Linked DNA regions of Macaca fascicularis. The protein of the gene in region 2 purifies or fractionates together with the protein of the main gene of each other region. This does not show direct contact. Links are inferred from orthologs where the notes say so. Each region holds a gene or a part of one and is shown on either strand. Other genes may lie near its edges.

Evidence for each region.
Region 1: the proteins of CREBBP (region 2) and IKBKB purify together in Homo sapiens (affinity purification with western blotting; 3 studies listed by BioGRID and IntAct, with this or other methods). This does not show direct contact. The link is inferred for Macaca fascicularis from reciprocal best matches to the Homo sapiens genes CREBBP and IKBKB.
Region 3: the proteins of CREBBP (region 2) and ATXN3 purify together in Homo sapiens (affinity purification with western blotting; 3 studies listed by BioGRID). This does not show direct contact. The link is inferred for Macaca fascicularis from reciprocal best matches to the Homo sapiens genes CREBBP and ATXN3.

What each region holds. Positions count from the first base shown.
Region 1 is NC_088382.1:45,833,625-45,837,271, reverse strand, and holds part of IKBKB (inhibitor of nuclear factor kappa-B kinase subunit beta), read right to left. Parts: intron 3,270-3,647; coding exon 3,118-3,269; intron 2,959-3,117; coding exon 2,897-2,958; intron 1,814-2,896; coding exon 1,704-1,813; intron 640-1,703; coding exon 590-639; intron 483-589; coding exon 383-482; intron 185-382; coding exon 37-184; intron 1-36.
Region 2 is NC_088394.1:4,656,589-4,660,281, forward strand, and holds the start of CREBBP (CREB-binding protein), read right to left. Parts: upstream 2,875-3,693; 5' UTR 2,549-2,874; coding exon 2,464-2,548; intron 1-2,463. Other genes in the region: uncharacterized protein, read left to right, coding at 2,934-3,693. UniProt on the Homo sapiens protein: Acetylates histones, giving a specific tag for transcriptional activation. Mediates acetylation of histone H3 at 'Lys-18' and 'Lys-27' (H3K18ac and H3K27ac, respectively).
Region 3 is NC_088381.1:160,098,809-160,102,555, reverse strand, and holds the start of ATXN3 (ataxin-3), read left to right. Parts: upstream 1-1,121; 5' UTR 1,122-1,162; coding exon 1,163-1,186; intron 1,187-2,249; exon of another isoform or gene 2,250-2,570; intron 2,571-3,278; exon of another isoform or gene 3,279-3,566; intron 3,567-3,747. UniProt on the Homo sapiens protein: Deubiquitinating enzyme involved in protein homeostasis maintenance, transcription, cytoskeleton regulation, myogenesis and degradation of misfolded chaperone substrates.

The DNA.
Region 1 (3,647 bases), on a different chromosome or scaffold from region 2:
ATGGGCCAAGGGCCTGGGGCCACAGCACTCACTCACACAAGCAATCTTCAGGAGATTCCAGAGCTCCTTCTGCCGCTTCTCCTGCAGCCGGACAACAGTCTTCTCATCCTCATTCATTAAGCTCACCACCTCTTCCACCTTGGGCAACAGTTCCAGCGCCTTCTGCTTGCAAACCACAGTTTTACTGCAAAGAATAAACATGACAAACTAATGGCATTTGGGCTGGAGAAAATGGAACCCATGGCAGCTGTGCATCCAGTCAGCAGCTGCAGAAAGTCTCTTCATGAGGTCCAGTGAATCAGAGAGGAGGGAGGAAGGTGGCCTCACACCCAGCCTGCATCTCCCAGTCCTTCCTCCAGAGTAGGAAGGGCGGGGCTCATACCTGAGCTGTGTATAGATCACTCGCACTTTCTTCTCGAAGCTCTGAATTGCCTGAAGCAGCAGCCGTACCATTTCCTGACTGTCACCCTCAGTTCGCTGGTCTGGAGAGGGGAGGGTAGCATAGTTCCTCAAGGAAGCCAGCAGAGAGTAGTGATGCCCCATAAATGAGATAAGGAGAAGCCCAAGGCAGACACAGAACCCCACTTACCTCGAGGCTTTTCCCTTAGTCTCCTGTACAGCTCCCTTGCTTGCTCCTCTCTAAAATATACAAAGAAGTTCTGTCTAGATTTGAGGTCAAATATGGCTAATTTTTATATTTTTTTGGTAGAGATAGAGTTTCACCACATTGCCCAGGCTGGTCTCGAACTTCTCGGCTCACAAGCAATCTTCTTACCTTGGCCTCCCAAAGTGCTGAGATTACAGGTGTGAGCCACTGTGCCCAGCCAAAAATATATATATTTTTTTAAATTAGCTGAGCACGGTGGCATGCGCCTGTAGTCCCAGTTACCTGGGAGGCTGAGGTGGGAGGACTGCATGAGCCTGGGAGGTCAAGGTTGCAGTGAGCTATGATTGTGCCACTGCACTCCTGCCTGGGCAACAGGGCAAGACCCTGTCTCTTAAATAATACAAATACAAATAAAAGAACTAGAGGAGAATAAAGGGTTGATTAGAGAAAAGACAGAATCAAAGTTCTGACATTTGGAGCTCCTGTCCTAAGAATCCTAGTGAGAGAATCAGGGAACACTGCTGAGCTCACGGTGACACAGCCCTCAAGAGGCTGACCCGGCCTGCCCGGTTCCCTCCATCTGCACGCCAGGAGGACATGTGATCTCCTTCAGGTAGGAGTGATCTGCCTAGACCCCTCCTCCCCTCCTGGAGTCAATGCCAAATACCTGACAAAGACTCAAACGAACGGATTCCAGGTCCGAATTCCCCCTTGTCAGGTTCTTCCTTCTCTACTTCTCTATCTTACTTTCTGTTCTGAGCTATGCCTGGGTCAGGGTGGGTGGGACAAATCAGGGGAGTCTGATACAGGGGTAGAGGCTGCTTGCATTTTAGAGCCTTTACAGATTATGGCCTCCGTCTCAAATGCGTTACCTGAATTCATCCTTACAACTTCGTGAGGTAAGACTGCTTTTCTTGCCACTGAACAGATTTGGAAACTGAGGCTCAGTGATGATTTGCTGGAGGTGACCCCACAGGGGAGCATGCTCTAGAGAATGGTCCCACACAGCCACTGAGGGTGCCCTGGACACACACACCGAAGCTCCAGGGTTATCTGTATGTGCTAGGCACAGAGGGGCCCCCCAGTCAGTACTCACAGGTCGTCCAATGTTCCCCCCTGCTTCCGGCCCATGGGGCTCCTCTGTAAGTCCACGATGTCCGTCTGCAGAGCCATCATCCGTTCTACCAGGAGTTTCACTTCGTTCTCCTAATGGAAAAGCTGTGCTAATGTCAACTGATGTGGTAGGAGCATGCTGAGATGCAAGATCTGAGGAGGAGCGAGACCTGGGGACCCTCCACATTGCCTGAGGACTCTCAATGGACTGGCTCAAAGGAATGTGGACTGTGGGGTCAGAATGGCTGCGCTTACATCTAGGGTCCACCACTTTCTAGCTATGTGACCCCTTGGCAAGTTACTTACCCCCAGCTGCAGTTTCCTTTTGCATAAAATAGGCTTCTAACAGGGCTATTTGAGGAGTGAAGTAAGATGAAGTACTTAAAGCCTCTGGCATGGTGCCTGGCACACAGAAGATGCCCAAGGCACATTACTTTCTCTTCTCTTCATCTGTCTATGCCGATGCTACTGGGCAGGGAGGCCCAGACTGCTTTATTTCATAGATTATGGGTCTCAAGATGGGGAGGAGCACTCACCCCTTCTATGGTTAATATTCACCATGAAACACATATACACCCCATCAGTACTGATTGATAAAAAGCGATACTGAGACACAGGGGAAGATCCTTGCCCAAGCACACAGGGGAAAACAGAGGATTCGTCCAGGAAAAAGCCCCAGAGCCTGACTTCAATCTTCAGTTCGTGTGACGTTCATTTAGTCACACGTATTTCCTTTGCCTTCATAATTAACGTTTTTTGGTGACATCTGATTCACGTTGTCCTGAGACTTTCTGCCTGGACCTTTTATTTCCTATGGATTTAGCGTCCCAACAAAATTAGTCAAAAACCTTCAACAAGAGGGGGTGTTGATCATCCATCCAATGCCCTTCCTAACAGGAAATGGTCTCGGCTTTTCCCCAAGGGAACCTAACACTTGCTTCTTATTTAAATCTGGACCATCGCCATCCATTCACGCAACTCTTGCATTTGGCCACAGAGGGGCTCCCTTTACTGGCTACTCTTAGCCTCTTTCCAGCTGGTCCAGTCAAGTTCAAAGCATGGTGAGGAACACCTGATTTTTGACAGAGATCGACCCAGTGTTTGATGAGAAAGTGAAAAGTAGGAGCAAAACCTCACCCCCTCGGTAAGTTCAGAAACCCCAAATGAGTCTCCTACCCGCCCACAGAGCTCCACGGCCTGCTCCATTTCCCTCCAGGCCAGCAGCAGTTTATCTGATGCTGAAAAAAAAATTGAGAAGGAAAAACAAAACAAAACAAAATAAAAACACCACAAAACTGAAACAGAAATAAGCAACTCAATTATAATAGGACAAAAGAAACCTTAGAAAAAGAAAAAAAAAATGGTGTCTTTAAACTCATTGCAAAGTGCACACTCACTGATCCCAAACTCAGTTTGCTCGCTGTACTTCTCCAGGTCAATCTGGATGCTGGTTTTGAAGAAATCCAACTTGGCCTTGAGCTGCTGAGACATGGAAGCCATGGAATTCTTCATCTTGGAGAGGCAGCTATTGTTCCGGAGGAGATTCATCCTGCAGGGACCACAAGGAACAGAGTCTAGGAGCATCTCTGGGATCCAAATTCCATTTCCTGCACAATAACAAAACCCCCTCAAATATCAAGGGAGGTCCCTGCTATAATTATCATCATCATCGCTATTATTATAGCAGCCACTTATAACCCAAGGACAATTTCCTCGCCCTCAGCAATGCCTGAGGTTCTGCACCAAACTTGGCACCAGGCAAAGGAAGACACAAAAGGCCAATAATGTTGGCAAACGAGTCACACTGGAGAAAGAGTCCATAAGTCCCCGCAGCACAGTCAGGGGAGTTTTGCCAATCCACATGGCAGCGAGCTCCTCTGGGTTCCCAATCCGTCCACAGCGCGGCCAGCCCAGCCTCAGTTCCATA
Region 2 (3,693 bases):
ATCTCATTACTCAATTTCTTAGACTAGTAGTTACACCAGACAAGGTGTCCCTTGTTTTTTTTAGAGACAGCGTCTCACTCAGTCACCCAGACTGGAGTGCAGCAGTGCGATCTCGGCTCACTACAACCTCTGCCTCCCAAGTTCAAGCGATTCTCATGCCTCAGCCTCCCAAGTAGCTGGAATTACAGGTGCATGTCACCATGCCTGGCTATTTTTTTGTATTTTTAGTACAGATGGGGTTTTACCATGTTGGCCAGGCTGCTCTCGAACTCCTGACTTCAAGTTGATCCACCAGCCTCCCCCTCCCAAAGTGCTGGGATTACAGGCATGAGCCATGGCATCCAGCCCCTTGTTTAATGTGCTTGACAATGATCCCTTCCTTGGTCCTCCACACTAACAGACCCTTTCACAATAGTGTGATGGTGATGAATGTGTAACTCAGGACCCAACTTAAGTATGATGTCGACTTTCTACTTTGGATTAAATCAGAGTCATTTAAAGCTGACTTTTGGTCCCACAAAAGAGCCCCTGTGCCTTACAAGGATCAAAACTGGAAAGGAAGAGGGAAAAGCTGGTTAAGTGTGGAAAATCCTTTCTGATCAACTTGTTATTAAGCATCTGATCATCCAATAATGGAAACTACTATGGAAAAAGCTATCCTTCGGGCTCCATCTTGGAAACAGCTGGATGTAAACAGTAGGATAAGCCTTTTTGTTAAGTCTTGTGTTACTAATTGTCCCCCTTTTTAAGACAAAATCTACAACAAATTCATTCAACAATAGCAAAGCTACAAAGCCATCCAGGTTACCAGTTTCAGAAGACAAGCTTCAAAGGTGAACTCGCCTCGTATGACCTACGTCTCACAGAACTGAAGACTACTCAAACACAGCAAGATTAATGAAGCAACTGAGATCTGTTTTGCAGTACAACGGCATTTAAACTATTGTTTCCAAATTTCTCACTTCAGTAAGTTCATTTCATAAGATTAATGTCAAACTCAACTTTTATCAGCTAAAAAGAAAAACATTATTAGTGATTTTTACATACCATGAGCATCATTTACTCCTCCCCACTGTTTAAGAAATTTTAACTAGATAAGAATCTCCTTATGATTGATTTTTAAAAATCGTTTTTCACTTCCACATTAATATTAAATGTCTCTTATCATAACTTGATTCCAGGAATTGTATTCAAACTTAAGCCACAAAATTCAAGTTTTGTTTCAACAGCAATAGCAGTTTTTTGAATATGCTAGTGGTCGGTCACAGAACTATTTCCACAAGTTGAACAGCTGTGTCTAGCGCAAATCTGAAGGCAGCAATGTAATTCAATTTGGACTCATTCATTAGAAACTGATTTTCAGATGCTGCCACTGCAAGACTACTGGAGAAATGCAAGCTGCGCTGGAGACGGAATTGTTCGCAGCGGCACAGAAGTTTCTGCTGCAAAGGAGAGAGCTCTAAAAGAGGAAATACAACTAGTTCATGTTACCATGAACCAGCGCAGTAGGACCCAGAATTACTGAATGAATAGGAAACTAAATACTTCTCTTAAGCAGCAATGATTACTTAAGAAAGTTTCCAGGGAAGCTGTTAAATGAGAGGAAACAAACAAAAGATGATTTATTCAGTATCCTGCTACATTTTTTTGAAAAATTGGAATTCCTACATGCCTTAACATAATTTTTTGTACATCTACACTGTGAAAGCAACACAAACTCAAATGGAGATGGCAGCCCAAATGAACTTAAATCTGCTGTTTAACTTTCTTTTGAAGTTACACATGGAAATGAAACACACCACAGCAACTTTAATGACATCTTGCTAACGAAGTTTGGATTTTGAAAAATGGAATGACTAGTTCACTAAAAACAACAACAACAACAACAAAAAAAAAAACAAAGAGTTTTGAAAATAAGCACTAAGCATCTTTCCAAGGAACTCACTCATTCCAAGAAACTTCGGTTCTAACTCGCAAGCTGGCGGCTGCTGTGAGTATCCTCTGACTGCAGCCTGATCAAGGTGTCGCCAATCCAGAAAATACACTGCGCTACCTTTGGCCACGATCTTGCTTTCTCTAAGCATCAAAGGTACCCTCCGCTGTCATTCCTCTGGACGGCCACGCGTGTGGACACGGCCGCGGATGGATGCGTAGGACATTACCAAACAAACCCACACACTGCACTTTACTTCTTCCCTCCTGGAGTGCCACTCGGGTCCCCGCGAGGAGGGCTGATCGGGTGCGGGGAGGCCGAGCGCACCGGGCGTGTGCTGCCCAACTCGGGCCCAGTGACAGTCCTGCGACGAACTTCCACCCTCCGGCGCGGGGCGAAGGGAACGGGCTGCGGGGCCTGCTCCGGGCTCCCGGCTCGGTAGGTATCCGCGACCACCACCCCCGGACACTCTCTTTCAGGTGGGGGTGACAGCGCGCCCCGGGCCCCCGCCGCCCCGGACCCCTCCTCACCTGTGCTGTCATTCGCCGAGAAGCCGGGCGAGCTGAGTTTGGCTCGTTTGGGGTTGGGCGGTCCGTCCAGCAAGTTCTCGGCCATTTTCACCTGCTCGCGAAAACAGCCCCGGGAGCGGACGGCCGGGCCGGCGAAGGCCCGGACGGGGGTCGGGGGCCCTGCCGGCTGCGAGGGAGAGCAGCGAGCGCGGCCGCGAGCGGGCGGGCGGGCGCCGAAGGAGAGGGAGGGCGCAGGCCGGGTGGGGGAGGCGGCGGCCAAATCTCAGCCACAGCAACAGCGCCCCGCAGCGCTCACCGCCCGCCCCCGGCCGCCGCCGCCGCCGCCGCCGCCGGCCGCGGCCCCCTCATCCCCTGCCCGCCTCCCGAGCGCGACACTCCGCGGCGGGGGCGCCCCGGCGGCCCGGCCGCCCCCCCGGGCCCGGCTGGCAGCGACGGCGCCCGGCCGGGCGGCTCAGGCAGTCCCCGGGAACATGGTGCCGCCGCCGCCGCCGCCTCGCTCCCCCCCCGCGCCCCACTTAATGAATTCGCTCGCGGCCCGACGACGAGGGGGCTCCGGGCTCCGCTCCCCGCCCGCGGCCCGCCGCCGCCGCCGCCGTGAGGAAAAACAATGCGCCGAGCGGGGTCGCCGCCGCCGCCGCGGCCCCCCCACCCCCCGTTCCGCCGCCGCCGCCGCCGCCGCCGCTGCCGCCGCCGCCGCCGCCGGGCTCCGGGAGGCCGAGCCGAGAGGCGAGCGGGGCCGCCGGGGCGGGCGCCGAGGGCCGGGCGGAGCGGGCCGGCCGGGCGGAGCGGGGTGCGCGGGCGGTTGTGGGGCCCGGGACCGGCGGGGCCGAGTAGATCGCGCTCGAAGCCCCGGTCGGGTCCGCGACAAGATGGCGGCTGTTGATTCCTCAATTAAAAAAAAAAGAAAGTTTTTTTTCTTCTCTTTCCAGAGCCTGAACGGGGAGGGGGTGGGGGCGGGGCACGCCGGTGCGTCACCCCCCCCGCGGCGTCACCACGCACGGCCCCCGCCCCGCCCCCTCCACCTGCGCCGGCCGTGGCGGAAAGAGCCGAGCGTGCTCGGGCCGAAGGGCCGAAGGCCCGAAGGCGCGGCCGCGAAGCGCAGGGCGGCGGGCTGCAGGGCGCGGGCCAGGCCTGCGGGGCGCCCGGGCTCCGGGCTGAGCCTCGGCTTTTGTTCTGATGGCGACGAGGCGGCGAGGGCCGGGGCTCCGGGCCCCAGCGGGCTCCGGGAGC
Region 3 (3,747 bases), on a different chromosome or scaffold from region 2:
AAAAAAAAAAAAAGTACACCTTAATCTGGTTTCAAGGTGCAAGATCTGCACCTATCCTTCCATTCAAGCTTCATCAAACCGCTGCTACCTCCCCGTCTCCCACACAATTTATGAGACTTCTAAGTTCCCTCTAAAGGGTCCGAACACCTACAGTGGTAACAAGTCACTTGGATTTGAATCCTGGCAAGGCAACTTACCATCTGACCTTGGACATTGTGCTGTTCTTAACGTCTCCGTGCCTCGGTTTCCTCATGTGTATGAATAGCATCAACACCTACATCAAAGTTTGCTGTATTAAATTTGATAATATATGCAAAGCATTTAGAAAAGGGCCTAGCTCATAGAAAGCCTTATATAAATATTAACTATCACTTTTTTCCTTTTTTGGGGGGTTGGGGACGGAGTTTCGCTTTTGTTGTCCAGGCTAGAGTGCAATGGCACCATCTCGGCTCACTGCAACCTCCGCCTCCCGGGTTCAAGCGATTCTCCTGCCTCAGCCTCCCAAGTACCTGGGATTAGAGGTATGCGCCACCACGCCCAGCTAATTTTGCATTTTTAGTAGAGACGGGGTTTCTCCATGTTGGTCAGGCTGATCTCAAACTCTCGACCTCAGTTGATTCGCCCGCCTCGGCCTCCCAAAGTGCTGGGATTACAGGCATGAGGTACCGCGTCCGGCCTAGCTATCATTTTTATACAAGTGCTAGGTTTTGGGAGAATGTAATGATGGCTTTTTCTTACTAAATTTTCAGTGGAGGAGGAGGAGAAAGAAAGTAAATAGTTATATGAACACAGTAGAAAGTACAAAGTGGAAAACAAAAAGAGTATCGAACCCAGGTGAGTGGTCCAAACCTCCCCCCAGAAACCTAAGAACCCATAGAAATGGGTGGGAAGCGGAGAAGATCCTCCAGACAGCAGGTGGCGATGTAGCATCCCCCAGAAGGCCCTCTAACAGAAACTAGGAGGACGCGCTACCAAGGTCACGTGTCCCCGGCGTTCACTCGCTCTTCGCTTCACGTGACTCGCATCCTCGCGGGTGATTGGCCTGCGTGCGGCACGTGGGCGGGGGGACCAGGGCGGGGCGGGGTGGGCGGAGGGGAGGGACAGGGGGCGGAGCTGGAGGGGGTGGTTCGGTGTGGGGGCCGTTGGCTCCAGACAAATAAACATGGAGTCCATCTTCCACGAGAAAGTGAGTGTCCGCGTGCGGTGGGGAGCTGTCTGCCGCGCGGTGGCGGGCGTGGAGCGCGGCATCACAGCCTCCCGGAGGGCTGGGTGGGGTCCGAGTCGCCCCCATGCCGATCTCGCCGGGCTAGGGGCGACGCCGCAACCCCCCGCCTCTTCGGCTCGGGGAGGGGAGCATCACCTACGCTCCTACTTCCCCCGCGGCCCCCGCCCTGGGAGCCGGGAGGGAGTATGGGCGGGGCCGGGGGCGTCTCGGGACACGGGAGCGCGGTGGCGCCCAGTGGATTTGCTTCTTCCTTTCTAAGTCACTTTCCATAGCTTTTCGGAGGATTCCTTCACCCCTCCCCAATCCTTCCCTCTCCCTAGGGTCTAGCTACAGTCACCTCTGGGACACCTCCCTCGACCCCTCCTACCCTACTCCTGGCAGAATTAACTTTTCTTTCTCCAGACTGCTCAATTCTATATTGGAGTCTTCCCTACATTTAGATCTTTGAGGTCTTGTTCATGTTTTTTCCCCTGCACCAGGTCCGCGAGCCTCCCGAGGGAGGAGACCTTGGCTCGCCCACTGTAGGGCCTGACACTTAGGAAGTGAAGTAGGAAACCCGTTGTGCCCCTAAACAGGGAAGTCGTCACGAGTTTTTATTACGGGATGTTTGGGTTTGGTTTCTTTTGGTACTCTCATCTTTCCGGAGCAGGCAGCCAGCTTTGTTTTTAGGTATTAGGAGTGGACTGGAATGATTTTGTTGTGGTCTGCCTAGCCTGCTGTCACTTTAACTCTTCAGTGACCATGCACTTGAAGATACTGTTTGTGACATGTGGAGAAACTCCTCGTTTCTCACATGCTATTATCCATCCATTTGTATGTGAGTGAAGCCTTCCCCGGGACAACTTTGGCACATGATATCTTGTTTCATAATAGTATCATGTTTGGAAAGAGTTGCTGGTAAGGCTATTATTTAATAGGAGGAGCAAAGGGTTTTTGTTTTATTAAATGCTTATAAATGATCGTTTATCCCAGACATTTAAAATTCACACACACACAACAAATAAAGCAAAGACAAAAGAATACATTTACCAGATGTAAATCTGTAGTATAAATCTTTTTTTTAATTTTTATTTTAAAGATGGCATCTCATTCTGTCACCCAGGCAGGTGTGCAGTGGAGAGATCATGGCTCACTGCAGCCTTGACTCCCTAGGCACAAGCGATCCTCCCTCCTCCGCCTCCAGAGTAGCTGGGACTACAGGTGTATATCGCCAGGGCCAGCTAATGTTTTTGGAGAGAGAGGGGTCTCGCTGTGTTGCCCAGGCTGGTCTAGAACTCCTGGACTCAGGTGATTCTCCCACCTCAGCCTCTCGAAGTGCTGTGATTACAGGCGTGAGCCACTGTGCCTGGAACAAATTGTTAAGTACAATGCTTTTCATTGTAGAAAACATCTCGGAAACTTTTGAAATAGGCAGATTTACAGTGGGGGAGGAAGGCCTCAGTCGTATAGTTGTCACTGATTTTTTGACTTGATTGACATGATTTATAAATCATAGACAATAGAGATTTAGTTGCTTGGCTGAGTAAAGTGTGTGAAAAATACACATGTACTTTCTTAAAAACATTTTTTTTTTGAGATCGAGTTTTGCTCTTGTCACCCAGGCTAGAGTGCAATGGCGCGATCCTGGCTCACTGCAACCTCTGCCTCCCTGTTCAAGCTATTCTCCTGCCTCAGTCTCCCTAGTAGCTGAGATTACAGGTGCCCACCACCACGCCCAGCTAATTTTTGTATTTTTAGTAGAGACAGGGTTTCACCCTGTTGGCCAGGCTGGTCTCCAACTCCTGACCTCAGGCGATCCACTCGCCTCGGCCTCCCAAAGTGCCGGGATTACAGGCGTGAGCCACTGCACCCGGCCATATTTTTGTTACTAATTTTCAAAGGCTTTGGTGTGGGACCAGATTTCAACATGGAAGGCCTTAAACATGTTCCACACTACTTCCTGAGAATCAGACAAGATTTTTAACAATATTGATTGTTACCTAGTTGGGACGCATTTCTACTGAACCATGGGATCAATAAAAGCTGGGTGCTAGCCTAGCGAAAATCTACTTACCCGAAAGAAGTCCCTCTTAGTCCGGGTGCGGTGGCTCACACCAGCGCTTTGGGAGGCCCAGGTGGGTGGATCACAAGGTCAGGAGTTTGAGACCAGCCTGGCCAACATGGTGAAACCACGTCTCTACTAAAAATACAAAAAATTAGCCAGGTGTGGTGGCAGGTGCCTGTAATCCCAGGTACTCAGGAGGCTGAGTCAGGAGAATAGCTTGAACCCAAGAGGCAGAGGTTGCAGTGAGCTGAGACTGCGCCACTTCACTCCAGCCTGGGCAACAAAGCGAGACTCTGTCTAAAAAAAGAAAAGAAAAGAAAAAAAAAAGAGTCCCTCTGAATTATCAGCATGTGTATAGGCCTACAGATACTTCAGGAATGTATTTACCATTATCATTAACTTGTACGTACATAGCAAGTGAAGATTCAACAATTTAGTTTTTTGGGCATACTCAAGAGTATGCACCTATAACCATATG